Drosophila melanogaster: one gene and its partners. The gene in region 2 interacts genetically with the main gene of each other region. Each region holds a gene or a part of one and is shown on either strand. Other genes may lie near its edges. The genes, in order: tor, rl, Nf1 and Gp93.

Region 1 (8,373 bases), 6.6 Mb from region 2:
GGCTGTAGTTTAAAAATCAATAAAGCTGGTTGAACAGGGATTATTAGAAATAAATGATAATGCTGTTATTACTACATTTGGTATATTCTGCGCTCATTGTTATGTTTTTTCCCTATATATCAATTAATAAATCATAGTTATTCATTTTAAATTGAACGCCAACTTCTACTGATCGTTGATCAACACTGTTTGCCGTCTTATCGATAAATAATTGCTATCAATAGCGATAGCTGCTTATTCAAAGTTTCGATCACTACCCGTCGTTTTAAAAAGCTTGTATGGCAATTTTATTTGCCTGATAAAATTCGTAATTTTTATATTAAATGCTTATAAAGCACTCATTTGATCACATTGTTTAGACAATAACTTCTCGACTAGTGTATAATCAGCTTGTCCTGCTTGGAGTTCGGTATGTACTGATCCTTGTACTTGGCGAACATCTTCTCCAGGTCGTCAATAACCTGTTTGTGTATCTTATCCACATAGGCTGCGTCTGGTTGATCGCTCTGAACCACGTCGATGGGAGCGCCAACTGAAATTTTTTAAAGTTTATTTGAATCTTACAACTATGCGACATTTGAATGAGCTGAGGACTCACCAACTTGGACAATGCGTCGACGGTTGGGCAGAAAGCCAAAGGAGTAGTTGAAGATGCCCCGGCCAACGGGAATCAGCGGAGATATCCCCGTTATCCTCTTTACAAAGTCTTGAAAGCGACGAACCCGAGAGTTCGGTGGATTGGCAACCTGATCCAGAATGTCCACCTCGCCAAAGGAAAACGTGGGAACAATCGAAGACCTAAAATGAAGACCGGATACAATTAAAAATAACTTTTAGTTGTATCCGATTTCAACCTACCCTGTCCTAATGGCCATTTTAACGAATCCCTTGCGGTTCTTCAGTGTCAATATATATTTGCCAGGGTGCGAGTCTAGTGCCTCCTGGGCACCACCCACCAGAATAGCCACCGCGTTGGAGGTGAACCCATCACGATTGTCCTTGTGCTTGGGATCGTTTGATTTGGTTAGCAGATATACTAAGGCCTCCTTGGAAACCGACACCAGGCCCCAAGATCTCAGGAGACCACGCACGATGGGCGTCAGGAAGTTTTGATCCAAAGTGGCCACCTTGGGCCTCACCTGTGGGAACAGTTGCAGCCACTTGGAGATGTCTAGACCCATATTAATGGAAATGCCAGTCCTATCAGGGTTACAATATGTGCGTAAGAAGGTATACAAATGTTTCGTCACCTAAGCAACCATCGATAAGATTGACTATCAGTCAACAAGCTTACCCCAAAATTCCGTGCGGAAAACTGGCCAAAATGTAGTTCTTATTCGGCGGCAGCTCTGCGGTCTTGACCAGCTGTACGGGAAAGTAGTCCCGATAATGCCGAAACAGCCAATTGTTGCGGTTAATTTTCCAGCTAAAATGGATTATTTTAGCTTTAAGTGTTCTTATAGGGACTTCATGACGCCTACCCATTGCCATCCATAATGGAGTGGGTTCTCTTGTGATTCGCGTAGACGTAGACCAAATAGATGACCATAATGGTGCGCCACAAAAGGCTTCCATAGAACTGGAAGGGAATGCTTTACTTTTCAAAATATTGAAGCACTGATGTATTTACCAGCACGGCAGCAACGAAGAAATAGGATCCAAAGGAGAGTATCATAAAGGATAGGATTAGGAAGGCCATGGCAAACGTCTGGCGACGCCGTTCCATGGGAACTCCTTTGGGAGCCCACTCGATTTTCATGATGTCAGAGCTCTCGAACTCGGAAAGTTGAACTACTTGGTAGCACGGTCCTCCGGCGACTGAAAAATGGAAATGTTCAATGTTTAGTTACCATTTCTTATCCTTATCAGTATCCGTCGGTGGCGCGAGTGCGTGGCTATTGGTTAGAGTTGTTAAAAAAATACCTTCGATTTAATGGCTATTCGCTTGGGGTGTTTAAAAATTCGAGCAATCAAGATAATGACTTGCTCTATATGGACGTCTGGCTAGAATGCCGATATGATATTATATGATATGATCTTATCATTGCCAACAACAGCCGGCTTTAACGTTTGTCCGATACTTGTGATCACATATATATAATTATTGTTTTGAAATTTCAATTGCAACTGGTTTGAATGCCTTTAGAAAGAGAACGAAACTGCTGTTGCACGACAACCTCCTCACTTTAATTGAATGGTGATAAAACTAACTGGGAGTTACTCGTATTGCTTTTGATCCGATCCGCTTTGGCCTAGTATCACAGGCTAATTATTTTAAACTTGTAGAGCTTTAATAAACTAGACGCTCCCATAGAAATTTATTATTAATGTTTACACACGTAATGGATCGTTATCGCGTTTGAGCAGCAGAACCGACGATGCGAGCGTACAACATTTAACTAAACTTGCGAGTGGCACTGAATGCTCGAGTTTCCCATGTGAGTGTTTCGAGTACTCGAATGCGATGCAACAATTGAGTCACCAATGTAATCGAGCGTTCTATACGAATAACCTGAATCAGAGGCAACTGAGGTCATGTGCATTTGCAAGTCGCTATAAGGAAATACCTGTATTGTCAGCTCTGTTCCAATTGAAATGGAATCAGGGAAAGTGTGATCACGCAAAAGCTACAATGTGGGCGAAATTAGCATAGTTGTTTTTTGGTTAATTTCGAATATTGGCGCCCAACATGGTTTCTAGGGATGGAAGCGACCAGCACTGCATTCTGATTTATCGGTTTGCTGCAATACAAGCTCTTTTGGCGCAACAGATCATAGAAGATTGAAATACAAACGTTGTTGGTGGTATCACAAATGAAAATTGCGAAGAGTTATCTGAAGTCAATGTTCTATGCTTATCCCAAGCCCTGGCGCTACTATGACGGAGTAGCGATCCAAATTTTTGCATTTCAAATGACCCCTAGTCCAATCCCATCCATACGATCAAGTACAATACGATGCAGTGAAGAGGTGAAAAACAAATCAAAACAAAATAGCGCAAAATATATTCAACGAGTCCGCCGCTTCTCATCATTCCTCCTTCTTCGTCGCTTTTTTACCATCGCATTTTTGGCCTCAGTTTCTCAGTTCTTTCTCAGTTCAGCAAGATAATCCGAGAAGGACGGATGGTATTGATCTCGAAAGTTGGAATCTAGAAACTAAGTATTCGAATTTGCTGTGTGTGTTATTGAGTTTTGTATCAAAGTGCGTGGTGGCAAAAGTGCAATAAACTTTAAGTCGGTTTTAAACAAATACACATTTCATTCCAACACACACACACCGACACACAACGAAGAACTAAAGAAGGGTTTCAAAAGCAGAACAAGGAAAATGCTTATTTTCTACGCGAAGTACGCATTTATCTTCTGGTTTTTCGTGGGAAGCAATCAAGGTGAAATGTTGCTAATGGACAAAATCTCTCACGATAAGACGCTTCTCAACGTCACCGCTTGCACCCAGAATTGTCTGGAAAAGGGCCAGATGGTATGTTTACACCCTTAGAATGTTGGAACACTCCATAACCAAAAGTGCATGCTTCTTTTCTCGACAGGATTTCCGAAGCTGTTTAAAGGACTGCAGGATTAATGGAACATTTCCCGGGGCTCTGCGCAAGGTGCAGGAAAACTACCAGATGAACATGATCTGCCGCACGGAGTCGGAAATCGTTTTCCAAATAGATTGGGTGCAGCACAGCAGGGGAACCGAGCCGGCTCCAAATGCCACCTACATAATCCGGGTGGATGCTGTCAAGGACGACAACAAAGAAACTGCGCTTTACCTGGTCAGATATTAGATGTAAACTCATTACTATTTACTTTAAAATACCATTTTATTTGATGAATTTCTAGAAAAAGATGTACTATGTAGTCATCAAGACCTAATGTTTCGTTTTACAAGTGGATCGCTCTTTTTCATCGACTTATTCGCTTGCAGTCTGATGACAACTTTCTCATCCTGCCGGGATTGGAGTCCAACTCTACCCACAACATCACCGCCCTGGCGATGCACGGAGATGGCAGCTACTCCTTGATAGCAAAGGACCAGACCTTCGCCACCCTCATCCGAGGCTATCAGCCCAGCAAAATGGGAGCGGTGAATCTGCTGCGGTTTGTCCCCCAACCAGACGACCTGCATCACATTGCTGCCGAAATCGAGTGGAAGCCATCGGCGGGTAAGTAGCTCCATCAGTTTAATCAATCAACGATCTACGAACCCTACTTTCATATTCCAGAGAGCAACTGCTATTTCGACATGGTGTCGTATTCAACCAACAGCGTGAATATGGACGAGCCACTGGAGGTGCAGTTCCGGGATGTGAGTATGCCATGACGCCCCTGCAATGCTAGAGCATAGCTAATCTTTTACTGCAGCGCAAAAAGCTGTACAGGCACACGGTGGACAACTTGGAGTTTGACAAACAGTATCACGTTGGCGTAAGAACGGTGAACATAATGAATCGACTGGAGAGCGATCTGCAGTGGCTGCCAATCGCTGTTCCAAGCTGCTTGGATTGGTATCCCTATAACTACACACTCTGCCGTAGGTTCCTCGAAAGTCCTATATAATAATAATATTAATAATAATAATATTGTTCCACCCTTTCATAGCACCCCATAAGCCAGAGAATCTTACTGTGACCCAGAAGCAGTATCTGCCAAATATTTTGGCCCTGAACATCACCTGGGCGCGTCCCAGATACCTGCCGGATAACTATACACTTCACATCTTTGATCTATTCAAAGGAGGTACGGAGCTAAACTATACACTTGACCAAAACAGGAGCCACTTCTATGTACCCAAGATCACGGTACTGGGTTCCCATTTCGAAGTACATTTGGTGGCCCAGTCGGCAGGCGGAAAAAACGTATCCGGTTTGACGTTGGACAAGGTTCATCGAGGTGTGTTGCTGAGCGGTACGTACGCTGAAGGAAATTAAATATTTAGACATCCATTTCCATCCATTGAACAGAGGGCAACATGGTCAAGTTGGTACTCTTTATTATCGTGCCCATATGCTGCATTTTGATGCTGTGCTCCCTGACGTTCTGCAGACGAAATCGTTCGGAGGTTCAGGCGCTGCAAATGGACGCTAAGGACGCGAAGGCCAGTGAATTTCATCTCTCCCTGATGGACAGCAGTGGCCTGCTGGTCACCCTCTCGGCCAACGAGAGTCTGGAAGTAATGGACGAGCTGGAGGTGGAGCCACACTCGGTGCTCCTTCAGGATGTCCTCGGCGAAGGAGCCTTTGGCTTGGTGCGACGTGGAGTTTACAAGAAACGCCAAGTGGCCGTCAAGTTGCTGAAAGGTTGTACCATTTGGTATTGAAGTTCTTGAATAATTCATGGAATTTTTGTTCTCACAGATGAACCAAACGACGAGGACGTATATGCGTTCAAGTGCGAAATTCAGATGCTCAAGGCCGTGGGCAAGCATCCAAATATTGTGGGTATCGTGGGATACTCCACTCGTTTTAGCAACCAGATGATGTTGCTAATTGAATACTGCAGCCTTGGAAGCCTGCAGAACTTTTTACGGTAAGTTATTTTTATACATATTGGAAAACAAGTGATGTATAGTAAAAAATGTATTACTTAGTGAGGAGTGGAAGTTCAGGCAGGAGCAAAATGCAATTGGACTTAAGAAGAACCTTGAACAGAACGTGGACAACCGACGGTTTAACCGACTCCCTAGAAATTCCATCCATGATCGCATAGAGGATATCAACAACTCGATGCTGTCCACTGTGGAAGAGGAGAGTGAATCGGATCAGACACACTCAAGTCGATGTGAGACCTACACCCTCACTCGAATAACCAATGCAGCCGACAACAAGGGCTATGGCCTGGAGGACATTGAAAACATCGGTGGGAGTTACATTCCCAAAACCGCTGAAGCTCCAAAGGATCGGCCAAAACGGAAGCTGAAGCCGCAGCCCAAGAAAGACTCGAAGCAGGATTTCAAATCGGACAACAAGAAGCGAATCTTTGAGAACAAGGAATACTTTGATTGCCTCGACTCATCGGATACCAAGCCCCGAATACCACTGAAATATGCAGATTTGCTAGACATCGCCCAACAGGTGGCGGTGGGAATGGTAGCCTACATCTACTCTATCCCTAAATGTAATTAAAAAGTGTAGCATGTATCATTTGCCATTTTAGGAATTTCTGGCCCAAAACAAAGTAGTGCATAGGGATCTGGCTGCCCGGAATGTTCTAATCTCCGTAGATCGCAGCATCAAGATAGCAGATTTTGGGTGGGTATCTCTGAAAGTTCAATGATTAGTTATATTGTGTTTTTTTTTTTAAGGCTGAGTCGAGATGTGTATCATGAGAACGTGTACCGAAAGTCCGGAGGAAGTGGCAAGCTGCCCATCAAGTGGCTCGCGCTGGAGTCCCTCACCCACCAGGTGTACACCAGTCAGAGCGATGTGTAAGTATATATTTTTGTTAAGTCCGAAGCGATTTTGTGGCTGATATCTTACCCTCTTAGTTGGTCCTTTGGTGTGCTGCTCTATGAGATCACCACTCTCGGTGGAATGCCATATCCGTCGGTGTCTCCCAGTGATCTCTTGCAGCTACTGCGACAAGGTCATCGGATGAAGCGACCGGAGGGATGTACGCAAGAAATGTGGGTATCAGTGCTTAGCGAAGTACATAATTGTTGATCACATTTGCTTAACTCAGGTTTTCCCTGATGGAAAGCTGCTGGAGCTCCGTGCCATCACACAGGCCAACATTTTCCGCCCTTAAACACAGACTTGGTGGCATGATTTTGGCCACTAACGATGTTCCAGAAAGGCTGAAACAACTGCAAGCTGCAACCGAGTCAAAATTAAAGTCATGTGACGGTCTAAACAGGTAAGTAATCTTTAAAAAGACAATTGTATACGTTACTTTCTTACCTTTTACAATTTAGTAAAGTGGAGCAAGTGCCATGCGAGGAAGAGCTATACCTAGAACCTTTGAATTAATAGTCATTGCTTCAAGATTATAATGAACGAGTGCAATACATTCTAAATTCGAGTTCCAATTCAGACAATGCTATGCGCCAGATAACCTTGCATAGCAATAAACATTAAAGCTAGCCTAAGAAAAATTTAATTTCTTTTTTATAAGAAAAACCAAGATATTTATAGAGTAAACTTCTAGCAGTGCCCTTTATGTCTCATAGAAACCGACCATTTCAAAATGTTTGTGCCTCCTTGCGGCTTAGGTTTCGAAAGAAGGTCGTTTATTTGGACCCCAATCAGCATCATTTTTGAAAATTCCAAATTGAAAGTCGGTCCAAGCTGGCTTGTTTACAGTGTTTCAATTCTACTTCTGGCCACCTCGATCGATGTGCATCCACTGCTGTCGCCTCCGCCGGACACCATGTCCACCGATTCCCTACAGCTGTCCACACTGCCCGGTGCGCACCATCTCCAGCTGCTGTCCACTGGGCAGTCGGCCCCTCGCCGAGAATCCTTTCATAAGAGGTCCGGATCGGGAGCCAACCCCCGATCCCTGCGACACCTTGCCACCGCGCTGGCTGGACCTCAATCGACGGGTCATATTTGCCTTGGCAAAAAGATTATGTCGATCTCCAGAGGCAGCTCATTATATTTTGCTTCGCCTGTTGTATGCCAACTATAGAAAAGTGATGATGATATCCAGAAAACGAAGGAGATACAAGGTGCCACTAAGTGGGTTTCCCGATCAGGATTTGTTCTCCGCCAGCGCACATTTCGATAGCAATGGTTACCTCTCCGATCCCATGGCTCCCGAAACTCTGGGAAAGCTACTCCACATGATGCAGGACTACATCCTTCGGCTGAGAGCGCTGAATCGCAAGTACAAGTGGTGTGGCAACGGCGAGGACTTTGGAGATGTATTGCTCCTATTGGGAGAGCAAGACGAACTGGTACGATTGTTAAGAGATCTCTTTGGAGACAGCGATGTTGTGTCCATTCCAAAGCTCCTGAGCGCCCTTAGCGAGCTGGAAATCAATAATTTATACGGAAAGTACAAGAAGAAAACAGTTCCCTTTATGGTGAGAAGTATATCTGATCTCTACTCCGAAGTGACGGAACCAAAGAGTCCAGTTTTGATATCATTAGCGCACATAGCCAACAAAGGAGTTTCCCCTTATGGACCGAGCCACTTGAAAAACATCTTGAATTTCAGTCCAAAGTCCTTGCCTATGATGGGTAAACACCCACCGCCTAAAAGAAGTAAAAGTGAAAAATGCATTCCAACATCAAAAACGAATTTAACCCAAGCAGTACAAAATACCCAAAAAAAATCGAATTTCAAGGAACCAGCAGACAGTACTGGGATTTTAAGTCCAACTTCCAAGAACTTACAATAAGATATCACAGCAAAGCCACTTCAAC
Region 2 (7,164 bases):
TTCAAAAGTGTAGGCATGGCAGCTTTGTGCGGCGTTTGAGCGGTCGTGGCAACATGGGTCAACAAACTTGCGCTGCGTCTATTGGCATAAGTATAACTCTATGTCTCTCGAATCTGAACCTTCTAGCTTTAATAGTTCCCTTATATGGTCGGAAACGCTTCCTTCTGCCCGATACATACTTTTTAACGAGCCTAGTATACTAATACTAATATATATATAAGAAGCTAACTGACTATTGTGCGCTTGGGATATCACTTTTGATACTAATTCAGTGAGTATACATAGTTTTAATGCATACTTATCATTATTGGTTTTTATTCGCATTAACGTTTGCTAATAAATCCTAGTAATCCAGGCACATACATTTTTCAGAGTTCAAGTAAGCGAAAAAAACCTTCCAGACTTACAGCTGCTTTTTCATCTTCGTTTAACGCGATAAAGAATCCGGAACAGCGTTTAAAGTACCCTTACGATGTCCAATTTTAAAACGATATTTTTGAAATGTCAACGACCATCGAGCAAATCGTGAGCAACATCGGCGAGACATGATCAGTTAAAATCTCTGAAATTTCGCATAGCTGCTATCGCCACCAAACATTTCTGCTCAGTCACAGAACACACTAGTCGGCACTACACACACTGTTGGCAGTAAAATTTTAAAATGACTTAATATGATAATAATGATTATTTTTTATTTGTTGGGTGTAAGTAATATAAACATAAAAATTAACAAACGATATAGACAAGTTAATGTAATATGATTATTTTTTGTATTGGCATAAGTATTTTGACAAGCCTTTAATACCTAAATAAATAAGTTTAAGTGAAGCTGCAGCTTTTTTTAACGAGTTATTCTCGAAAGAACTTACATCTGTCCATAAAACACTTTTCCAGAACGAAATTAGTGAACCGGGGTTAGAGTTTTCTTAAAAGTTTGCATCTCTATATTCCAAAGCGTTTGAAACTAACAAACACAAACTGTAATTTACAAAGTTAAGTTAAGAAATTCGACAGGGACAGATGATCAACCGAAGTTGGACGCTTACTGTGTTCCTCCATATAATTTTACCTCACCATTACTTAATTTAAGAATGTCTTCATTTTTGAAAATAATTGTGTCCAAGGGTAAACCAAAGTTCTTAAGCATTGTTTTCCCTGACAATTAAAATTGAACAAAAGAAAAATGATAAAGGAAATTAAAGTTGAAATTTTTAAAGTAAAGATATATTTGAATTTATTTATGAGTCTTAATAAGTTCTTTCTGTGCTCTCTAAGTCCATTCACGTTGGACCCACTTCTTCTTTAATAGATAATACAAATGAATTATATCAAAATCACTGGTTCCTGCGCAACTTATTGCGCCAACAACGGCAACGACTGACGTCTGGACTGCGGCAGCGCCGACCAAACACAAGTTTTGCAGTCTGACGGCTGTTAAACAAAATCCCAAAACTCCATACACAAACTAAACTAAACTATATACTAAAACTAGACATCAACTGAGTTGGGCATTTTAAACAATGTGCTAGCTTTGCAGTCGCTCTTTGCGGTGCTACACTTGTACCCGCTCCGTCATGCGAGTTAAACTGAAATGTATTCTAAGAATGAAATAAATTGTTAATAAGGAAAAGGTCATGTTATAAAATAAACCTACATTAATTAAAAAAATTAAACCTACACTTATACCTAAAACCATGGTATTTCATTAATTCATAAAATAAATAGCTGTCATAGACATATTTTTCACGATTTCTGTAAACTTATATACTTGGCGTACGTAGCATTTACTTCGGATATCACCTTAAGAGTAACAAATATATTTAAGTACATTCGGATTTTTTAATGTAAAAATATAAAGTTTTTGACATCTGATAGTATTTTGTTTAAAAAGAATGTTCGATCATCAATCATCCTCCGTTGCAACACTGCTGAATTTTCTGTAGTGGGCAAACTACATTTAGTTAGCTGTACATTTGTATATGCTTCTGAGTAGTGAGCTGTTAAGAAATTTTATTATAATATAATAAAAAAGCAATTAAAGGATTTGTTTTCTCTTAATTAAACATTTAATTTCTGCTTTCGTGTTAATATGTATATTCTACATTGGTTTGTAGTCACGTCTTAATGGTGGGAACAGTACTTTTAGTTCCGTTTACGCTGAATTTACATCTGTTAGGTCACACAGCAGAAGATGGCACATGCCTGCTTTCTTGTTTTATTTTAATGGGCAATAATAGCTTAAATTAGGAATATAACACTAAGTCAAAAGGTTTTTATTTCTGCGCTCCCATTGAAAAATGTCCAAAAATATATTTAACCCAACATCAGGTTAATATGTGATGATCAATTTCCTCCTTTAATACCAATTTTTAAATAAAAAAATGTCTTACGCAATGACTGATCATTTTTAAATTATTATATTATTTAATATTAATTGTGGAAATTGTGGCTGCCAAAAGACTGATGTACCTTTTGGGATCCGATTATAATTGGATCGGATAAACATTGACCAGTGTCGTTATCTTAACATATTATTAATGTTTTACGCCGTCGATTTTGATAAATCATATTTACGCATTTGTCTAAAGAGTAAAAAAAAGTTGAGTTTATATATTCATATCTTAAGTTATAGACTTTTGGTTAAATTCATAATAAAGTAAATAAAGATTTTGCACTTATTGCTGTTCACTTAAATAAGATAAAGTGGGACATATTCAGTTGTAAAAGTGTTATTACAATCCACGCATACATACATTGCGAATTTTGCAGATACGGTGTATTTTGTATCATAACATCTTTAGTAGTATTTCAAGTTTTCCAGAAGAAACGTTAGTCATGGAGGAATTTAATTCGAGCGGATCAGTAGTTAATGGTACAGGATCTACGGAAGTTCCTCAATCTAATGCTGAAGTTATAAGGGGACAAATATTTGAAGTTGGTCCTAGGTATATTAAACTCGCCTATATAGGTGAAGGAGCTTATGGCATGGTTGTGTAAGTACCTAATACCTATTTTTATTTTTGAAGCCGTTTTTAATCTACAGTGTTTGCACACCTCTTTCTTGTTGTTCCTTTGTCCATTATTCATAGTTTTTTTTTTATCTTGCGGTTCTCCTTCCGAAATGCAGTAATACTCAGAACCGTGTTCTCTTGATTTTATATCAAGTAATACATTTTGTTCAAGTCCTTTGCTGTAAGTTCGCATACATGGTATTGCTGAATCAATGTTATTTTTCGAAAATGCATTAAATTTATTCACATCAATCATACGCAGTACTAAGCTGTGAAACACTTAACAACGAAATAGTTTCTCAAATTTTTGATTTCTTTCTTTTTCTCTAAACGTGGCTTAGTTTTGCTTTTTCTTTGACAAAATCAATCTTTAAGGGTCGACACAACCGAGTTTGTTTTCATGCAAAAGCCTAAATTGGCCGATGGACTTTATAAATAAAGGAAAGTCAATAGCTTCTGAGTCATATTGCTTGCTTTTAAACGCTGCGCACAAAACTTTCGTTTACCGGTCGATCGGTTGTTCAACGCAATACAATTTCTCGCTAAACTTGGATTTGCTTGTTAAAGTACTCTTTTACTCGGTGCCTTTATACCTTTTTCTAATGCTTTTGGACATAATTAGGGATTATTCATTCATTCATTAAAAGTAAATTTGGAACCTACATTTTCAAAAATAAAAAATCAACACATTTTTTAAAAGTTGCAGTTGCAGTTTTGGGCGGAGAGTGGGCATGGCAACATTTCATTTTTCAGTATTTAAAAATAAAAAATATTTAGTTGAATTATTTTGTTATATTCTTATAAAATATTTAAAAAGCGGACATTTTGTTTTTTTTTTTAGTTTCTTTTAATTTTAAATTATAGTTTTATGTTTTTTGATTAGGTTGGAGTTTTGAGGTGGGTAGCAAATGGGGTTGATTGACTGAAGAGAGCATATTTTGGGGAGGGGTCAGTTCATGTAGTGGGCATTGGTAAGGTTGGTGTGTCCAAGCCTGAGCCTTTTTATTAGGATTTGTGTTTTCTTATTGTGTTATGTAGTGTTGTAGCTTGAAGGATGAGCTCATACCAGGGAAAATTGAGAAAAGTCGTCACAGTTGTAATTTGAGGAGTGTACAAGGGCGTATCTGTGGGCATCTTTAGCTGTTTTGTCGGCGTATTCGTTGGCGGATATGCCGATGTGAGTGGGCATCCATATAAGTTAAATAATTGGGAAGTGGTTGGTGAGAGGGTTTCTTATTGTGGATAGATATTATGAGATGTTGATTGGTATTGGTATTGGTGAGGAAATTTAGGGCGGACAGGAATTCGAAGCCCGGCGGCTAAATTTAATTTTGCTGGCGTTGCTTGTTACGCTATAGCTTATTATTTAATTGGATATCGAGCCATATGTGTGGCTGCATAGTTGCAAACCAATGTATGGCCGTTACGCATCTTGTTATTCTAGTGTCTTTGATATAACATTGGTTGCTGATTTTAGTGTTCTTCTGGACCTTAAACTAAAGTTTTTCAGATCATATTTCGACTATTGTCAATAAGGCAGGGGTGTGCTTGGTTTAATAAAAAGGAGGTCAAAGGAATTAAATGATCATTACAGCACCAAAACCTTATTCATTTCGCTAGTCCGTTCGATTCTTGAGTATACGTACCTCAATCGGATCGCATTGAATCGGTCCAAAAAAGTTCTTCTTTTAAGTTTATAGCTATTTGGCTGTACAAAGGAATACTTAAATATATTCCTTATTTGTCGCTGTTCTGCTATAAAAAATCGGAATTCACCACCATATCCTATTATTTGTTCTAATTTATTTTAACAGAATGTGCATAAATCCTTAATGACGAACATTTCTTGGACCTAATCCATCTTGGGACTGTTGGAGAACATCTATGGAGTCTGCCTTAGTTATTAGGTCTTCCATAGCGATATCATTCCTAATTATTTTACATGCGTATTTTACTAGATTCGTTGAAATGTATGTGACAGGCAGAAGAAAGCGTTTCCGACCACATAAAGTATATATATTCTTTATCAGGATTAATATCACACCAATTGTTTTCTTTGCAATTTTTTTTGCCTTTCTTTTCTTTCTTATCTTTGTTTTCCACACCAGAGTTATTTGTAATTTCTTTAACTACATAGCACAAAAGTTATTACTCTTTGCATGCCACTTAAATTATGAGTGATTTTGTAAATAATTCCTACTAAGCCCTAAAAATTGTCCCAGGGTCCTGTTTAACGAAATTCATTTCTGCGACGACGTTGTATTATTATAAATGTTTATTTTAAAATAATATTTCGCGAAATATGTGAGTGTAATATTAAACTTAAATGAGTTTACAAAAGTTTGTGGTGGTTCCCTGTGTTGATCTCAACACCGACTGGACACATTAATTGTATTGATCTCCATGCTCTCTTTTTTCACGCTCTCTTGTGGCGTTATTAATAACATGGTTTACTATACATTCATTTACTATATTCATTAAGCGTTTCAAATCATAATGTATTTCTAATGAACCCGCTGCTTCTTTTTTTTTCTTGTCCACTTTCTTATAGCAATCCAAGGCTTTCGCCTGTTGAAAATTTGTTCCAATGCTTATTAGTTCATATATGCTAAAAATCAAACTACTAAATCATATAGCAGAACATAAAGTTATTATATTATAGATGTTTTTATTCAAATAGTGTTCTAATTCGGTAAGCTACAGCATTTTGATAATATTTAACTTTATTTTTGCTTCGATAAAAATTGGACGGTAACATAGCTCAAAGAAGCTGGGGTCGGAAAAATCGAATTTTTAAAATTTGAAAGCTGGAATCGTTTGCCCATTTTTGCCCATGTTTGCCCACCAATTAGTTTTTTTGCCCACGTCCAGTTTTTGAGATATAAATTTTCGAAAAAGTTCGAAAATGTTCGAAAATCAAAAATTTCGTTTTTTTCAAATTTTTTTTTTAAATCGCAATAACATCGTTTGACCACGTTTGCCCACCCTTTAGAATTTTGAAAAAATGTATACTTTAGAAAATATAAGGCTTTTAAGTTTACCTCGGTCTAATCAGAGAGTAAATCGTTTGCCCATCTCTTAAAACCAAATATTATCAACAAAAAACGTTTGCCCAACCATTATTATTAGTTTTTATCGTTTGCCCACCCTTTAAAAAACCTTTAACAAAAATTTTTTTCGATTGCCCACATTTAAAATACACCCAATTTCGTTAGCCCACCTCTTTAAAATAAAAATTTCCAATAAAAAACGTTTGCCCACCATTTAAAAATAAATAATTTCGATTGCCCACCTTTTAAAACTAAATAATTTCGTTTGCCCATCCTTTGAAATTCATTTTTAACGTTTGCCCACCCTTTAAAAATAAATTATTTCGTTTGCCCACCCTTTAAAATTTGTTTTTTTCGTTTGCCCACTCTTAAAACTAAATAATTTCGATTGCCCACCTTTTAAAACTAAATAATTTCGTTTGCCCATCCTTTAAAATTCATTTTTAACGTTTGCCCACCCTTTAAAAATAAATTATTTCGTTTGCCCACCCTTTAAAATTTGTTTTTTTCGTTTGCCAATCGAAATTGGGCAATCGAAAAAAAATTTTTTGTTAAAGGTTTTTTAAAGGGTGGGCAAACGATAAAAACTAATAATAATGGTTGGGCAAACGTTTTTTGTTGATAATATTTGGTTTTAAGAGATGGGCAAACGATTTACTCTCTGATTAGACAGAGGTAAACTTAAAAGCCTTATATTTTCTAAAGTATAAATTTTTTCAAAATTCTAAAGGGTGGGCAAACGATGTTATTGCGATTTAAAAAAAAAAATTTGAAAAAAGCGAAATTTTTGATTTTCGAAAATTTTCGAACTTTTTCGAAAATTCATATCCCAAAAACTGGACGTGGGCAAAAAAAACTAATTGGTGGGCAAACATGGGCAAACGATTCCAGCTTTCAAATTTCAAAAATTCGATTTTTCCGACCCCAGCTTCTTTGCGCTCGGTAACATCCATACAGCCGCAGTAATTTAAAAAAAATCATAGTTTTGTTGTTTTTGATCATAAAAGGTTCTTATTCTATTGTTGCGCAGAAATGTTCGAATACCGAATCGTGTATTACATTTTTGTCTTGAAATATTTTAAAATAGCGAAAAAACTTGTAAA
Region 3 (7,133 bases), on a different chromosome or scaffold from region 2:
TGGACGCACTGATCAACCACCATGTGGCCAGCCTGCACATCGTTAGCTCCTACTACGAGCGGGCCAGCTGGTGTGTGGTGGCCGAGAAGGTTCAGGTGTGGACCATCTAAGCACCCAACTCTCAAACGGGGATTCGAAACGAAACTTAAGTTTATTTGCTATTACTGGGACCGAAGCATGTATACCAAATATTTAAAGGATATACGTTAAATTACTTTGAATTACATTTTTTTATACGCATCTAATACATTTTAAGTTGCTCTACAAAAACACTTGAATATCTTTTTAGGACATTCAAAATCCAAGCAGCTTTTTTGATTTTTTCAAGGCGTACCCGTTTACCCGTTTGAATCCCTGATCTAAAACAAATGCCCATTTCCTAGCTGTAGTCTCTGATCTGATGCCCCCAAAGGAATTGTTAAATTTAGTCTATTACTCTAGTCGGCTGGCGGTGCGGGGCGGGGAAGGCCCGTCCTGCTATCCAGCACTAATTTATTGTTAGCAGGCCTGCTCAAGGACGCGAACGCAGGATTGCACTGCATTGAAATCCAATTTCAAAGGAAAACTTAGCTGTAAGAACGAAACCAATCGAATCGAATGCGATAACGAAACAACGCAAGCTAAATACAAATCTTACTAGTTATACGAGCATATTCTATTTACAACGATCATCTGTTTGTATCTTGCGCTATCTGCAGACTAAGTTTCAAGCACTTTATGCTATAATTTCGAAGCGAATAATCATCAAACGTCCATTGCAGCCAACATATACCACTTATACAAGAGAAAATCAAGATACCAGTTAAGCAGCTAGAACAAAGTAATATAGCAACTATGTACGTGCATGTATACACTCCTTAAAACTGCAAAGTTAATAGAACCCTCTAAAAATATCAATAACTGCATTTAAATCTATGAGAAAACCGTACATATATCGAATGCAAAGTAAAATCAAAAATATATACACAAAACAGTTTAAGAAACTCTTTCCGCAAGCTCACAATTTTCCACATATATAAATTTTTCACCTTTTTAAAGCACTTTTTTATTTACTTTAATTGATTGGATAAAGTACCCAACTCACTTCCCAAAAACGGCCAATAAGACGATTGTAACATAAGCCTATGCCTAAACTCAAATTTTTGTCAGCTTAAGAAGGGTTATTTGAAAAATAACGCAAACATTTTCAATAAAACCAAATATATACATATATATACCTATATGCGACTGTACATGTGTTTTTTAGCTAGCTAAACTAACTTTATACCGTAAAATAATAGAACAATTGAATAAATATTAACTAACGTTGGACGCAACACTAAATTACAACAGATAGAACTCGATTTGAACCTATTACTGCTCGAAATGCTGAAACATTATAAACATTAAGTATTGCTGGAAAATATGTATAATTTGCACAGAGCCAAACAGGCACACTCAAACGGAATTAACTCAAAACCCAAGCTACAAAACCATCTGAAATATTTAATATTGATAATTTGTAATGCATTAACAACAACATTAAATAAACTAATAATACTTACTGAACTGAATCTGTTTTAAAAATCATTTATATTTCTAATTGGAACACTTAGACCATATAAAATAATAGCATCAAATGAGATAGAACGAAATGAAGGCCAAATATTTTTGGAATTTTTAAACGCTCCTGTGAGCGCGCGCATTTACTTGTGGCTTATGGTCACCCTAATGAATTCAGTACTAGTTGGTCTGATGCCATCACTATTTGAAAATAAGCGATATATCGATAGGATGTAATTGTTATCACTTATAAAAGCGTTTCGGTATTGTGAAAGAAATGGAAGGCGGTACACACACAATATAAACATCCAAATAACAGCCTGTAAGCCCTTAGAAAATTCCCATAAAAAAAGAAACAGTGCCCGTTTTGTAAAGCCAAACCATCCAAATTGTTGGAAGAGAAGGAAGTGAACGTCTCAGGAACTGAAAAAAACACCAAGGATAACGAACAAAGATGCCACTCAACCAATTGCCACTCCCCAAGCTCAACGAAAAGCTGCCCTATTTAGTTGCTGAAATGCAGTAAAAAACGCATAAACAACTGTTAAAACACCACAACAAGATGACCCAGAAGCCAGGCGAGTGGGCTAGCGCCCTTTTGGCACGTTTCGAGGATCAGGCAAGTGTTTTCCAATCGCTTTTCCGCAGTTGCGTTTTCGCAAGCGAAAAAATGTACCTGCTGCTCTGCCTCTTCCTCCCCCACACATGCTCACAGCGACCTTGCGAGTGTGCGTGCCTCACCCGCTCTGTCAGTGTGAGCTCTCAATCAAATGCGTGGGAGAGCGAGATAGCAACAATAACAAAAACACCGGTTCCCGCATGAATGAAGTGGAATTGAGCAATCAATGGTTTACTTTTTCAGCTGCCAAACAGAATCGGTGCCTATGGCACGCAGGCCAGGATGAGCCAGGACCAATTGGTGGCCTGTCTGATCCACATATCGCGCTACCGCTTCTCCCTTGTCATATCCGGTCTCACCAAGATGCTGCAGAGGGTCAATGAGGCGGTAAGTACTCCATTCTCTATTGTTAACCCTTAAACTATGTTGCCTTATTTTATGGGGCTAGGATACGATTAAATTACTTAAACAAAAATTTCATTGCAGGCCCTTCAAAATCGCCATGAGCCAGAGCGTTGCTACTTTGAGTCGCTGGTCATCATACTGACCACTCTGGAACGCTGTCTGACCAACCAGACCAAGGACACAGCACGTTTTGAAGAGGCCATGAATGTGAAGCTTCTGCTGCGCGAGATCTCCCAGTTTGTCGACGTCCAGAGCGACAGCAATCCGAATGCCGCCCAGCTCAAGGCCCTGGCATCCAAGGTGCTCTTTGCCTTGTCCCAGAATCACTTCTCGGCGGTGTTCAATCGCATATCGGCCAGGATTCAAGAGCTGACATCCTGTTCCGAGGAAAACCCGGACTACAACGACATAGAATTAATTCAACACATCGATATGGATATGATAAAGCTAACCAAGCTGCTACAAGGTAAACTAACTTTTTTAATATTTCGGAAAGGTTAAACAACGTTTTACGTTTCCAGAAACCATCACAAAGTTTCGATCGAAGCGTGCTCCACCTTTGATCTTGCTTTACTCGCTGGAGAAGGCTATTTGGAACTGGATCGAGTACCATCCACAAGAGTTCCAGGACTTGCAACGAGGAACCAATCGAGATATATCAACGTAAGAGGAATTACAAGCGTTTTTAAAGTCACATTAATTGATCCTGTTTCGTTTAGCTGCTGGGAACCCCTGATGGACTTTGTAGAGTACTTTAAAACCGAAAACAAGAAAAGCAAGACTCTTGTTTGGCCGCTTCAAATGCTCTTGCTGATATTGAATCCCTCTTGCCTTGAGGCTGTTGTTAACGAACTTCAGCAGTCGGAGAAAGAGAAGGAAAAGGACAAGGAAAAGGTTGCCTCGAAGTCAGCGCAATCCACGTCCCGGGACAAGGACTTCTCGGCCAAGCAGTTCATCGAGAGTATCAAGAGAGGCTTGGGCCAGCACTCACCATCCAAACAGGTGACCGAATCTGCGGCAATTGCCTGTGTAAAGCTGTGCAAAGCATCCACCTACATCAACAACACCGACTCCAATAATGTGGTCTTCAAGTTGGTGCAATTCTTTATCAACGATCTCAAGGCACTGCTCTTTAATCCAGCAAAGCCCTTTTCGCGCGGTCAGGGGTACAACTTCGCTGATATCGAGCTGATGATTGACTGCTGGGTGTCTTGTTTCCGGATTAATCCTCACAACATCGAGGCTCTAAAGGTTTGCCTGAATTTGTCCTCGCCGCAGGCTTACCATTTTGTAATTGTGTGCTCTCTGCTAAGGTAATTTACTTGGGTAGCTATATAAAACTCTTGACTTTTACATGTATACTTTCCATTATAGGTTGGCTCACATATACGTTGACTTCCGTTTGCAGAACAAGAACCCCTTTCGAATAGTAAACCAACCGAGATTGTCTTGGTGGCCGCAAACGGATGTGGTTCACTACCGTTCTGCTGAGCTACGAGCTTTGTTTACGGATACGCTCAACAAGGCCACCCAGGGTTATATAGCCCATACGCCACTGCGCTACATAACCTCCCTGACGCTCAAATCTAAAGATACCCAGAAAGGTTTAACCCGCGCTGAAGAGGGTCCCGCCCACAAAATGCTATTACTGCTACTCGTACGGCTAATTCATGCAGATCCCACGCTTTTGTTGAATGTGAGTTATTTGATAATTTGATCGATAATAGTCTCATATTTAACAATTGTTTTGTAATATAGACCCAAGGAAAAGTGGCACATGAAGTGCAGAGCTCCACATTGGAGCTCATCAACGGCTTAGTTAGTTTGGTGCATCAAACTACCATGCCCGATGTGGCACAAGAGGCTATGGAGGCGCTGCTTGCTCTGCACGCCCCGGAGAAAATAGAGGTTTGGAATCCAGAGGCTCCGATCAATACGTTCTGGGACGTTAGCTCCCAAGTACTGTTTTCAATCTCGCAAAAGCTCATTCAACACCAAATTGCCAATTACACTGATGTCTTAAAGTGGCTACGCGAGATCCTCATCTGTCGGAATACTTTTCTTCAGCGACACAAGGATTATGCACATGTGGGAAGTCAGATTGCCATTTGCAAGCAGGCTCACATTAAGATGGAAGTTGTTTTCTTCATGTACCTGTGGAGTGTTGATTTAGATGCGGTGCTGACATCGCTATCGTGTTTTGGACTACTATGCGAGGAGGCTGAGATTTGCTGCAGTTCTGATGAATTGACAGTCGGATTTATTATGCCGAATTACCACATTTACCAGGAGCTGGCTCAGTTGTCCACATGTGAGTTTGGTAAATTCATCATACATATTTTTATTAATAATAATTTCGTTTTAGCTGCAACGGACTCTCGCATTTGCTTTTTTGACAACACGCACGGCAATGTGCTGAGCCGTCTTACACTTCAAAAGCGCATAATGACCCTATTGCGCAAGATCGAGCACTGTGTTCATGGTGTTCAGCCCGCCTGGGAGGAAACCTTCCGCAACTGGGAAGTATCCAGCAAGGTTTTGCAAACGTACCCCAAATGTAAAGGAGAAGATGGCCAAGCGGAGGTTTTCCATCGTGGCATGGGCAAGCGGCGAGCGAGTCACCAAAGCTCAGAGCACGATTTGGAGGAACAAATTAATGAATGGGCCAATATGACATGGTTTCTATTAGCCTTGGGTGGCGTCTGCCTTCATAAACGTAGCAGCAGTCGTCAAATGCTGCTGCAGCAATCACAGAACAATGCTTCTTTGGGATCACTTGCTCAAAACTCTCTTTACTCAAGCTCCACAAGTTCTGGACATGGCTCTCTGCATCCTAGCACGGTTTCACTATCCACTCTTCCCCCAGCACCGCCACAAGATGTCAGCTATTGTCCTGTAACACAGTAAGGTTTTATTTATTTTAACATGTCCCATATATAACCTATAACTTTAATTTAGATTCGTGGGCCAACTATTGCGCCTGTTAGTTTGCAGCAACGAAAAAATTGGACTTAATATTCAGAAAAATGTGAAGGAACTGGTGGGCGAGGAGATGTCCACCCAACTGTATCCTATACTCTTCGACCAGGTTAGAGCCATCGTGGAGAAGTTCTTCGATCAGCAAGGTCAGGTGAACGTCAATGTGACCGACATCAACACGCAGTTTATCGAGCACACCATCTACATAATGAAATCAATTCTGGATCCCAAAGCCAACAAGGATCCCAACAACGATCAACCCTCGCCATCGGAACATTTAGGTGTTACAAGCATCGAAGGCATGATGCTAGGAATAGTGCGCTACGTTCGCCACCTGGATATGACTGTTTATGCCATTCGAATCAAGACAAAATTGTGCCAGCTTGTGGAAGTAATGATGAAGCGACGCGACGACCTCGCCTTTCGCCAGGAGATGAAGTTCCGGAATAAACTGGTTGAATACTTGACCGACTGGGTGATGGGCACCTCCCATCAGATTGCACCGCCCAGCTCGGCGGATGCCGCTATTCTTACCAACACATCCCTCATATTTCGCGATCTAGACCAAGCCTGCATGGAGGCAGTGGCTGCCTTGCTTCGGGGCCTTCCCCTTCAGCCTGAGGAATCGGATCGAGGCGATTTGATGGATGCAAAGAGTGCGCTCTTTTTAAAGTACTTTACCCTATTTATGAACCTGCTGAATGATTGCATCGATAGCTCCGAGGCGGAGAAGGAAATGAATAATACCCCACTATTGCCTCCGCGCCCTCGAATGGCAGCTGGAAAACTGACCGCTCTGCGAAATGCCACTATTCTAGCCATGTCTAATTTGTTGGGTGCCAACATTGACTCTGGTTTGATGCACTCCATCGATCTGGGTTATAATCCTGATTTGCAAACGCGTGCCGCTTTCATGGAGGTGTTGACTCAAATCCTGCAACAAGGCACCGAATTCGATACCTTGGCCGAAACTGTTTTAGCTGATCGATTTGAGCAACTGGTCCAACTTGTTACAATGATCAGCGACAAAGGAGAACTTCCCATAGCAATGGCTTTGGCTAATGTGGTGACTACATCCCAAATGGACGAGCTGGCTAGGGTTCTGGTCACCCTATTCGACGCCAAACACCTGTTATCGCCACTCCTATGGAATATGTTTTATCGCGAGGTGGAGGTCTCAGACTGCATGCAGACACTTTTCCGTGGAAATTCTTTGGGCAGCAAAATCATGGCCTTTTGCTTTAAAATATACGGCGCGAGCTATCTCCAAATGCTACTAGAGCCTTTAATTCGTCCGCTTCTGGATGAGGAGGAGGAGACCTGTTTTGAGGTGGATCCAGCTCGTCTGGATCCAACAGAAGATATTGAACAGCACAGGAACAACTTGATTGCCCTAACGCAGAAGGTGTTTGACGCTATTATCAACTCGTCGGATCGCTTTCCCCCGCAGCTGCGATCCATGTGCCATTGCCTGTACCAAGTGCTAAGCAAACGCTTCCCGAATCTTCTTCAAAACAATATCGGTGCTGTAGGCACAGTCATCTTCTTGCGGTTCATCAATCCCGCCATAGGTAAGATTATAGAAAAA
Region 4 (8,209 bases), on a different chromosome or scaffold from region 2:
CCTAAAGCAGCTCCCATTTCAGTACAAGAAGCACCGCGTCATCTGCAGCGTCAAAGTTCTGCCGACACCTGTGACCCATTTTGAGCGGGAATCCAAGAATGATTTCCATTGGATGACCGCGGATCGGTGGAGCCGGATTGAGTGTGGTCTATGGCGCCTGTTCGAGAACCTGAAGCAGTGGCAGGATGCCTACCAACTGGACACCGAGCTCATTATCGATCACATCATCGTGCGCGTCCAGGCGACCAATAAGTCGCATCCTGCAACGGTCGCTCTTCTGGCCGGTACGGAGTCCAGCTCCAAGGATCTCTGCCTGGACCTACAGCTGCAGTACATAACACAAGAGGACACCACCATTGTGGACGTCATTCCCGCCAAGCGCGAGCTTGCCACGGAAGCAGAAACAAATGGCACCAGACCCACATCCCGCAAGATCCGCGTAGCAAACTCAGGATCCAAGCCAAAAGCGGGGTAGGAAACCCTATTAATTAGTCCCAAATACTCCATAGGCTTGGATTGTGTGGTTTTTGATCCCAATAGCTATGAACCACCTTTGCACCTTTCACATTTTATGTACCGAAGTTGAATGCATTTTAATGTTTTCTCCACTGCATGTTTCCCCTCCAGCACACAATCGAAGCCCAAGCACATTGACGCCGACAACGAGGATGACAAGAGCTCCACCACGGCCAGCCAACCAACCAAGATCAAGAGCGAGCGCAGGTCCATTTCCCAAGGAGGCGAAAAGGATAAGGCTTCTTCCAGCAGCCCCAGTTCCTCGCAGCAGAGCAACCGCATTAAGCGATCGCACAGTCCATCACAGCAGTGAGTTAGGCGAAGGCTAGGATGTGAGAGAACTAAGAGCCTATTGATCTATTCGCAGGAATTCCAGATCCAGCTCCGTTGAGGCCAAGCCTGCACGCCGCTCCGGCCGATCGCCCATACGCCCGAGTCGATTCAAAAACTTCGTAGTTGGGTAAGCCATAGAAATATGGTGCTATAGCGATCAGTTTCATTCATCATTTCCCTGGCTGCCATTTTCAGCGAGACCAGGAGCGGCAAGAGCAGAGGACCCAAGCCCAAAGTGAAACGAGTATCGCCAGTGCCGGCCAAAGATTTCAAGGTGGAACACATGGACGGAGGGCGGTTCAATGCATTGCAGCGGCTGGACAGCATGCTGGACACGCCCAAGCCGCGCGAGGTTAAGATTTTGTAAGTGACTCGACTAGATGCAAATAAAGCGAACACGAATGTGCCTTCAACTTGCGTTCTTTTGATTGGCTCAGACTCTTGGAAAAAATGGGCGAGGACGAGGTGCTGAATACGTTCGAAAACTATCGCAGCGACTTCGATAAGCTGTTCAAGGAGCGCGAGTTCAAGCCGCGCACCAGTCACTACATGAACATTGCCCACATGGACGTCATCGACATACTGAGCAAGAGCATTCACCAGCAGATGCTCAAGAAACTGGGCGAGGTCTACAGCAGTCGAAGCGTAAGTTTGGGGCGTCCTGGAGTGACACACATATCCATCCTAACATGTCCCGATTACCAGAACCACACGTCGCTGCTGGTGAACGGACTGCTCCCGCTGTGGATAGTGCGCCTCTTTATGGACACATACACGCTGTCCCAATCGGAGGCCGTGCAGCAGATCCGCGACCAGATGAAGTACAACACCTACTTGAGGGCCCTGAACGATGAGCCGCTGAGTTCCGATCTTGACTGATCGAGCAATCAATTCACTTTTTAACTATTTTTTGGTATCCGATTGCGGAAATTTTACATTGCGCGCCATATTAAATAGGCAGTTGTTTTAGTTTTAAATTCATTTGTCTTTATTTGTTTTGATTGGAATCTGTTGTGTACTAAGCATATTACATTGTATAAATACATAATTCACTTGCTTTCGAAAAAAGAAAACGCTTGAGCAACCAAGTGTGCTGGCTGAAATGGTGGAGTGCTCTCTGGGCGACTGGCGGTGATGACGGCGTGGGCGAAGGACTACGAAATTATTTTACTTAGAATCTAGCGTGTAATGTTGATGGAGTGCCCGCCCGGCCACCCGGTGGCGGTTTAAAACTCAGTCTGAACTTCACACTCTTATGTACAATCTATTTGGACAGTGGGTGAGGTGAAGTAGTTTACAGCTCGTCGTGCTGCTGCTCCTCCTCCTCATCATCGGCGTTGCCGCTCTCCTGGCTGCCGGTGGCGGTCTCCTCGGCATCATCCTCCTCCTCCTCGTCGAACTCCACCTGCTCGTCTTGGGAGACACCCAAGGTCTGGCGCATCATCTGCTCAATACTGTCGGCGAACTGCGAAGTCTCCTGGAGCATGTATCCAGACCGCAGGGTGGCGGTGCGGAACATCATCACAGCCATGTCCTTGGCGGTGTCATCGGCCTCGTCGGCCTCCACGCGGCGCAGCAGCTCGCGCATCAGCGGATGCCTGGGATTGATCTCGAGCGTTTTCTTCTGGTTGAGGTAGTAGGTGCGCTGAGGATCGTCGGACTTCTGGTGGGCGTTGGACATGGCCAGACGCTCCATGTTGCCGGTCCAGCCGAAGACGCCGGCCACGAGGGCGCATGGCGAGTTGCTCAGACGCTCGGAAACCTGGGCCTTGGAGATCTGATCCTTGAGTGCCACATCGTTCAGCCACTTGACCAGCGGCTCGAAGGTGCTCTTTAGCGACTCGAAGTTCTTCTTGCTCTTCTCGGACTCGTTCAGCTGGAATCCCTCCTTGGCCACGTTCTGGAACTTCTTGCCATCGAACTCGGGCAGCGCGGAGATGCAGTACTCGTCGACGGCCTCCACCAGATACAGCACCTCGTATCCCTTGCTCAGCAGACGCTCGACGAACGGCGACTTCTCGACCTCAGCGCGGTTGGCACCAGCGATGTAGTAGATGTGCTCCTGCTTGGCCTTCATGCGCTCCTTGTACTCCGCCAGCGAGGTGACGCCCTTGCCGTTGGAGGTCTGGAAGCGGAGCAGCTTGGCGAGACGCGATCGGTTGCTGGGATCCTCCATCACGCCCAATTTGATGCTGAAATGAGTCAATTAAGTCTTGATAAGCAACGAAAATCCAAGAATTCGAGGTTATAGCTAATGGAAATGCTTATTTAACTAAAATAAAATATTTAAGTATAAACTCTACACGTCACCAGTGCCAATATTATAATACTACGTGGATTTCCTTATCTTATCAGCGCGGAATTCTTTAAAGCAACAAACTAAATATATTAATTTGTTGGCAAAAAATAATACACGTCATTCTATTCTCCATATTATAATGGATTCTGCGGAAATGCTTATCATAAATAACTAATTATTTGAACAGGCAAAGAACGTTTCTTAATTCCTAGAAAGCGACACTTACTTGGTGGAGAACTCCTTCCAGAACTTCTCATACGCCTCCTTGTCGATCTTCTTCAGCATATCGAGAACCTTGCGGACCAGCTTCTTCTTGATCACCTTGATGAGCTTGTGCTGCTGCAGAGTTTCGCGGGAAACGTTCAGGGGCAGATCGTCGGAGTCGACGACGCCACGAATGAAGCTCAGGTAGTTGGGCATCATGTCGTTGAACTCGTCGGTGATGAAAACACGGCGCACGTACAGCTTAATGTTGTCGGACTTGGTGCCGTAGCGGTTGAAGGACTCCGATGGCTGCACCTTGGGCACGTAGAGCAAACTCTTGAAGGTCACCTCGCCCTCGGCGATGAAGTGCGTCTGGGTCAGGGGCTCGCTGGAGTCCTTGGTCAGGCTCTTGTAGAAGCTAGTGTACTCATCCTCGGTCACTTCGGCGGGCTTGCGCGTCCAGATGGGCTTGCTGTCGTTGATCAGGGTCCAGTCCCAGGTGGTCTTCGAAACCTTTTTGGTCTTGGGCTTCTCATCTTCGGCCTCCTCGACCTTGGCGTCCTCATCCTCCACGTCATCCTCGCTCTTCTCGGGCTTGGCCTCCTCCTCCACGGGCACCTCCTCCTCGACGGTCTTGCTGGACCACATGCGGATGGGGAAGTTGATGAACTGCGAGTACTTGCGGATGAGCTCGCGCACGGTGTCCTCCTCCAGGAAGTCCTGGGCTTCTTCCTTCAGATACAGCGAGATCACGGATCCTCGCTTCAGAGTATCGCCACGGGGATCCTCGGTGATGCTGAAGCTGTTGGCATCCGACTCCCAGATGTACTGTTTGTCGTCGTTGTGCTTGGTGGTCACCACTACACGATCGGCGACCAAGAAAGCGGAGTAAAAGCCCACACCGAACTGTCCAATCATGTCGTTCATATCGAGTCCCTCCGACTTGCTGGGATCCTGCATCTTGGCCAGAAAATCGGCAGTGCCGGACTTGGCAATTGTACCCAGGTTATTGATCAGATCCTGGTGAGTCATGCCGATACCCGAGTCCATGATGTGCAACGCCTTGTTCTCCTTGTCGGCCTTAATGCGGATGTGCAGCTCCGGATTCGTTTCCAGCTCCTTGCTGTTGGACAGAGCCAATAGGCGGATCTTGTCGATGGCATCGGAGGCGTTGGATATCAATTCACGCAGGAAGATCTCCTTGTTGCGGTAAAGCGAGTTGATAATCAGCTTCATCATGCGGTTGACCTCCGTTTGGAAAGTAAACTTCTTCGCCTGCACGCACAGACAAAAGACAAAGAAAAAAGGGAAAGGAAATCCCGGTCATACGTGTACCTTCCAAATGACCTGGCAATGAACCCACCTTCTCGCGAATTTCCTTCAGCTGCGCCACGTTCAGGCCGTCCAGCTGGATGGCCTCCTCCTCGCGCTTCAGGGTCTCGGCATCTGGGGGATTGGGAATTAGAAAAAGGGGGCGGTTATCGCAACGCTGACGTGTACCAAACAAAACTCGTCGTCGCGAGAGGGGGGCGTGTCTACGTACCGGTGCGGGAGCCCTCCTTGAAGGAGCCCAGATCAAGGTCGATGGTCTCCGTTGTGGCGGCCTCGTCATCGGCGGCTATTTGATTGATGCCTAATCAGACGCGAATCAGACGCCAATTAATAATTAGGTTAAAACACCGGTTCAATGCGGCGTGGCAAATGTGCACACTTACCTGCTAGGAGCAGCAGGCCCACCAGCAAAAAGTACTTCATGATCTTTGGTAGCTTGATTTACGGAGCTCGAGCTATCGGTTCGTCCGGCGAAAGGCCACGTCACGAATAACAGATGCAATAAATTAGTCCGCACTTGCGTCGCCTGCTTTGATTTTTTTTTACTGACGCCGACAAGCGGCTGGAAGGCCTTTAAATGCCTCGCAGAGTGACCGTATTCCGGCGCTGGAACATTCTAAGCGCATTGGAAGGAAATACCAGGGGCTGCACTGGAAATAGGATATATATACAGCACAGAGCACGAAAATAGTGTAATTTAAATAAATTTAATGTTTGCTTATTTGAAAGCCCATACATTCATAGAATCTATTTGGGATTTAGTTTACAAGAGGATGTAGTGTCAAAACTCTACTGTTAAATATATTTAATTTGATAATTTACATTCTTATATCAATAGTTTACAAAAGGGAACACTTAGGCCGGTAGATATATGATTTATATTTGAAACAAATTAGTATCTTTTCATGTATACAACAACTAAGCTTTAAAATAATAAATTCTTCGGTCGGTTGCACAACAACTTCGTGTATATACAATTTTTAAGCTGCCAAAATAGATAACTGAGAACTTATTGATATAGCAAAGTAATGATAAAAATATGAATTGAAATAAAATATAAATTCCTGACAGAGATCAAGGAAATCCATTTCGTTTTAGAATATATAACATATGATTTTGTACCGTTCGGTTTATTTTACAATGTTAAGTTAAATATTTTAATGTTGGTATTTTTATTTGCCATGGCGTTAAGGTTCCGCACCCACATGTGGGTGGACTTGTGCTGGTATTTTCACCCGAGCCATTTTGGTATTTTGCGACGTTCCCGCTGCGGTCACTCTGGGCACGAGGCTTGTTTATTGGGCGAAATTTAATGATTCGCTGTAATCATACAACATTTGCGTCAGTTGCCAAACACCGACCCAGCCAAAATTCCGCTTCGGCCACAAACCGACTCTTATATATTCATAAAACAACCGATCCGCAGCCGCCACTCCAGCAGCAGCAGCTTAGCCGCGAGCAACTAAACCAGAAATTGCTTCCTCGCGTGAATCGTTGAATCGGGGAATCGTCTCTATGTCGTCTGTATGCTAGTCGTGCAACAGCAGTGTCAATTAGCAGTTTCGCATAAGACCACCTCACGCGTACACTCTGCACCACCACCGCCACCGCCGCCGCCTCCGCCAGCAGCACCACCCCCCGAAATACACCCGCCCGTGCGTCCGTGAATCGTCGTGTTATCCGTGTTATACAACAAAATTGCACCAAAAGTGCCCGACATACGCCGGCCAAGAGTTGCCCGCTAACCAACGCCGATCCTCGACAGGCGGAGCGACCCGATCCCAGCGGAGAAAGCGGCTCTGCAGCAGCAACTGCAACAGCGACTTGGCAGAACTGGTCCGGATTAGCAGGTTGTCGTAAGAGGAGCAGCGACTGCAAGGGCGCAACCACAGCATTAGCACACAACACAGTCGATAGTGCAGCCCCACCAGCAGCCTCAACAATCGAAAGCGACGGCAACCGTTCGGATCCACCATGAACATCGACGACTACGAATCGCTGCCCACCACCAGTGTGGGTGTCAATATGACGGCGGGCGCAATTGCGGGCGTGCTGGAGCATGTGGTCATGTATCCGCTGGACTCCGTCAAGGTGAGAGAGACTGCATGGCCGCCTGGTAATCGGAGGAGCAGCGGCATGAACATAACACGACCTAACCTCACTATCAATCGGAATTTTGTGTGTGCCGCCGCTGCTTTGGCATAATCGTGATGTAATTGCCCACGTCTCGAGTGCAACCAAGAGTTGCGTTTCTCATTAAGAGCTCTGGGTGGTATAGCCACATATAGCCGCTCTGAACGCTTATCGTAGCACGTTCCATTGGTTTATGCTTCCGCGATAAGATTAGCCATAGTAATTGGACTAGCTCTTATCGGCGGAGCGTTCTCATCGTTCTTCTGAAAATTCGGTAGGGCCAACCAAGTGCACAAGTCCGCCACTTAAGCGTATGCAAATGCCCACCTCGTAATGACGTTCGCCGCAAGTATATACACATATGTATATGGTTATATGTAAATATGTACATATGTACACCACGCATTCAATACCTATTATTGACCGATTCTTGTTTCGTTGTATTTCACTCAGCTGGCTGGTGGCTCGAGCACTTATTGATTTTCGTGGCCACATGTGTCAATCGCGCAAGTGACAGCCGGCAGGCAGTTGGTTGCCAGTCTAAAGCCTGGTCGGTATTCCCGGCGTCATCGTTATAATCTAGATTCTGGACACAGTCCGTTTGACGAGCTAAAATTCGTGAAGTTTTAAAAGCCAGAGAGCGGAAAACCAAATTGGACACCAATTGAGGCCGCTTGCTTGCAATAATTACCTATCACCGGGTTCTCTTATCACGGCACACACACAATACACCATCGGGATGAATGAATCATGTTGGCTCCGCGATCTCTTCGAACGCAGCTCTATCGGGCTTTTATGCAATGGAAACTTCTATCAGTTCGTCGCAGAGAACCCTTTAATTAGATTTCCCCCACTCGAGGGGCTACTTTTCACCTTGGATGGCATTGTTGACTTGTTATTGATAGCAGCAGCCAGCCGGCAGATAGATAAATGCAGTTGGGCCGTGTTCCAGTGAATCTTATCTGCATCGCAAAGCCAAGGCCTTCGTAATTTACAATATGGATGCTGCTCTCTGCTCCCAGATATAATTCCGACTTGTGTGCTCGACAGGCACGCCTTTAAATAAGTACAATTAAGTATGAACAGATATATATATATATACATACATATATATATATATGTATGTGCATATGCAATCATTAAATACGTAGGCAAATGCAAATCTCTAGGCTCCGAGTGACTGGCTCGTAAATCAGCGAAAGTTTTGCCGGGAAGCATGCAATTATATATTTGTATATTCCACTGATATCAATTATTAGTCCCTGCTGTTGTTTACAGATTATATAGCCCTTATCTCGACAATTATGGGACGAACAAAATTCGAAAAACTTTCTTTTGATGAGATCTATGCATATTCTGAACAATTATTTCCCTTTTCGGCTGCCACATTGC

The links.
Region 1: of rl (region 2) and tor, changing one suppresses a phenotype caused by changing the other (phenotypic suppression), as found in Drosophila melanogaster (2 studies listed by BioGRID).
Region 3: of rl (region 2) and Nf1, changing one suppresses a phenotype caused by changing the other (phenotypic suppression), as found in Drosophila melanogaster (one study listed by BioGRID).
Region 4: of rl (region 2) and Gp93, changing one enhances a phenotype caused by changing the other (phenotypic enhancement), as found in Drosophila melanogaster (one study listed by BioGRID).

The regions. Positions count from the first base shown.
Region 1 is NT_033778.4:7,703,902-7,712,274, reverse strand, and holds tor (torso), read left to right. Parts: upstream 1-3,090; 5' UTR 3,091-3,329; coding exon 3,330-3,482; intron 3,483-3,549; coding exon 3,550-3,780; intron 3,781-3,932; coding exon 3,933-4,170; intron 4,171-4,230; coding exon 4,231-4,313; intron 4,314-4,369; coding exon 4,370-4,538; intron 4,539-4,606; coding exon 4,607-4,912; intron 4,913-4,968; coding exon 4,969-5,304; intron 5,305-5,361; coding exon 5,362-5,533; intron 5,534-5,594; coding exon 5,595-6,093; intron 6,094-6,160; coding exon 6,161-6,255; intron 6,256-6,308; coding exon 6,309-6,431; intron 6,432-6,491; coding exon 6,492-6,629; intron 6,630-6,685; coding exon 6,686-6,859; intron 6,860-6,917; coding exon 6,918-6,972; 3' UTR 6,973-7,092; downstream 7,093-8,373. Other genes in the region: CG1941 (uncharacterized protein), read right to left, coding at 375-532, 599-798, 859-1,200, 1,295-1,426, 1,482-1,579, 1,631-1,759; CG34216 (uncharacterized protein), read left to right, coding at 7,338-8,348. UniProt on the Drosophila melanogaster protein: Probable receptor tyrosine kinase which is required for determination of anterior and posterior terminal structures in the embryo.
Region 2 is NT_033778.4:1,069,447-1,076,610, forward strand, and holds the start of rl (rolled), read left to right. Parts: upstream 1-2,528; 5' UTR 2,529-2,599; exon of another isoform or gene 2,600-2,804; 5' UTR 2,805-2,835; coding exon 2,836-2,993; intron 2,994-4,825; exon of another isoform or gene 4,826-4,895; coding exon of another isoform or gene 4,896-4,918; intron 4,919-7,164. UniProt on the Drosophila melanogaster protein: Serine/threonine kinase which acts as an essential component of the MAP kinase signal transduction pathway to regulate proliferation, differentiation and effect cell fate decisions in various tissues.
Region 3 is NT_033777.3:25,981,188-25,988,320, forward strand, and holds the start of Nf1 (neurofibromin 1), read left to right. Parts: upstream 1-1,825; 5' UTR 1,826-2,104; coding exon 2,105-2,161; intron 2,162-2,404; coding exon 2,405-2,548; intron 2,549-2,647; coding exon 2,648-3,032; intron 3,033-3,087; coding exon 3,088-3,229; intron 3,230-3,285; coding exon 3,286-3,879; intron 3,880-3,940; coding exon 3,941-4,262; intron 4,263-4,324; coding exon 4,325-4,877; intron 4,878-4,931; coding exon 4,932-5,469; intron 5,470-5,524; coding exon 5,525-7,116; intron 7,117-7,133. Other genes in the region: fid (fire dancer), read left to right, coding at 1-110.
Region 4 is NT_033777.3:27,945,760-27,953,968, reverse strand, and holds Gp93 (glycoprotein 93), read right to left. Parts: upstream 5,259-8,209; 5' UTR 5,108-5,258; coding exon 5,068-5,107; intron 4,986-5,067; coding exon 4,896-4,985; intron 4,799-4,895; coding exon 4,716-4,798; intron 4,628-4,715; coding exon 3,375-4,627; intron 3,042-3,374; coding exon 2,144-3,041; 3' UTR 1,818-2,143; downstream 1-1,817. Other genes in the region: CG4951 (uncharacterized protein), read left to right, coding at 23-471, 628-825, 884-976, 1,045-1,212, 1,287-1,494, 1,555-1,728; mfrn (mitoferrin), read left to right, coding at 6,659-6,775.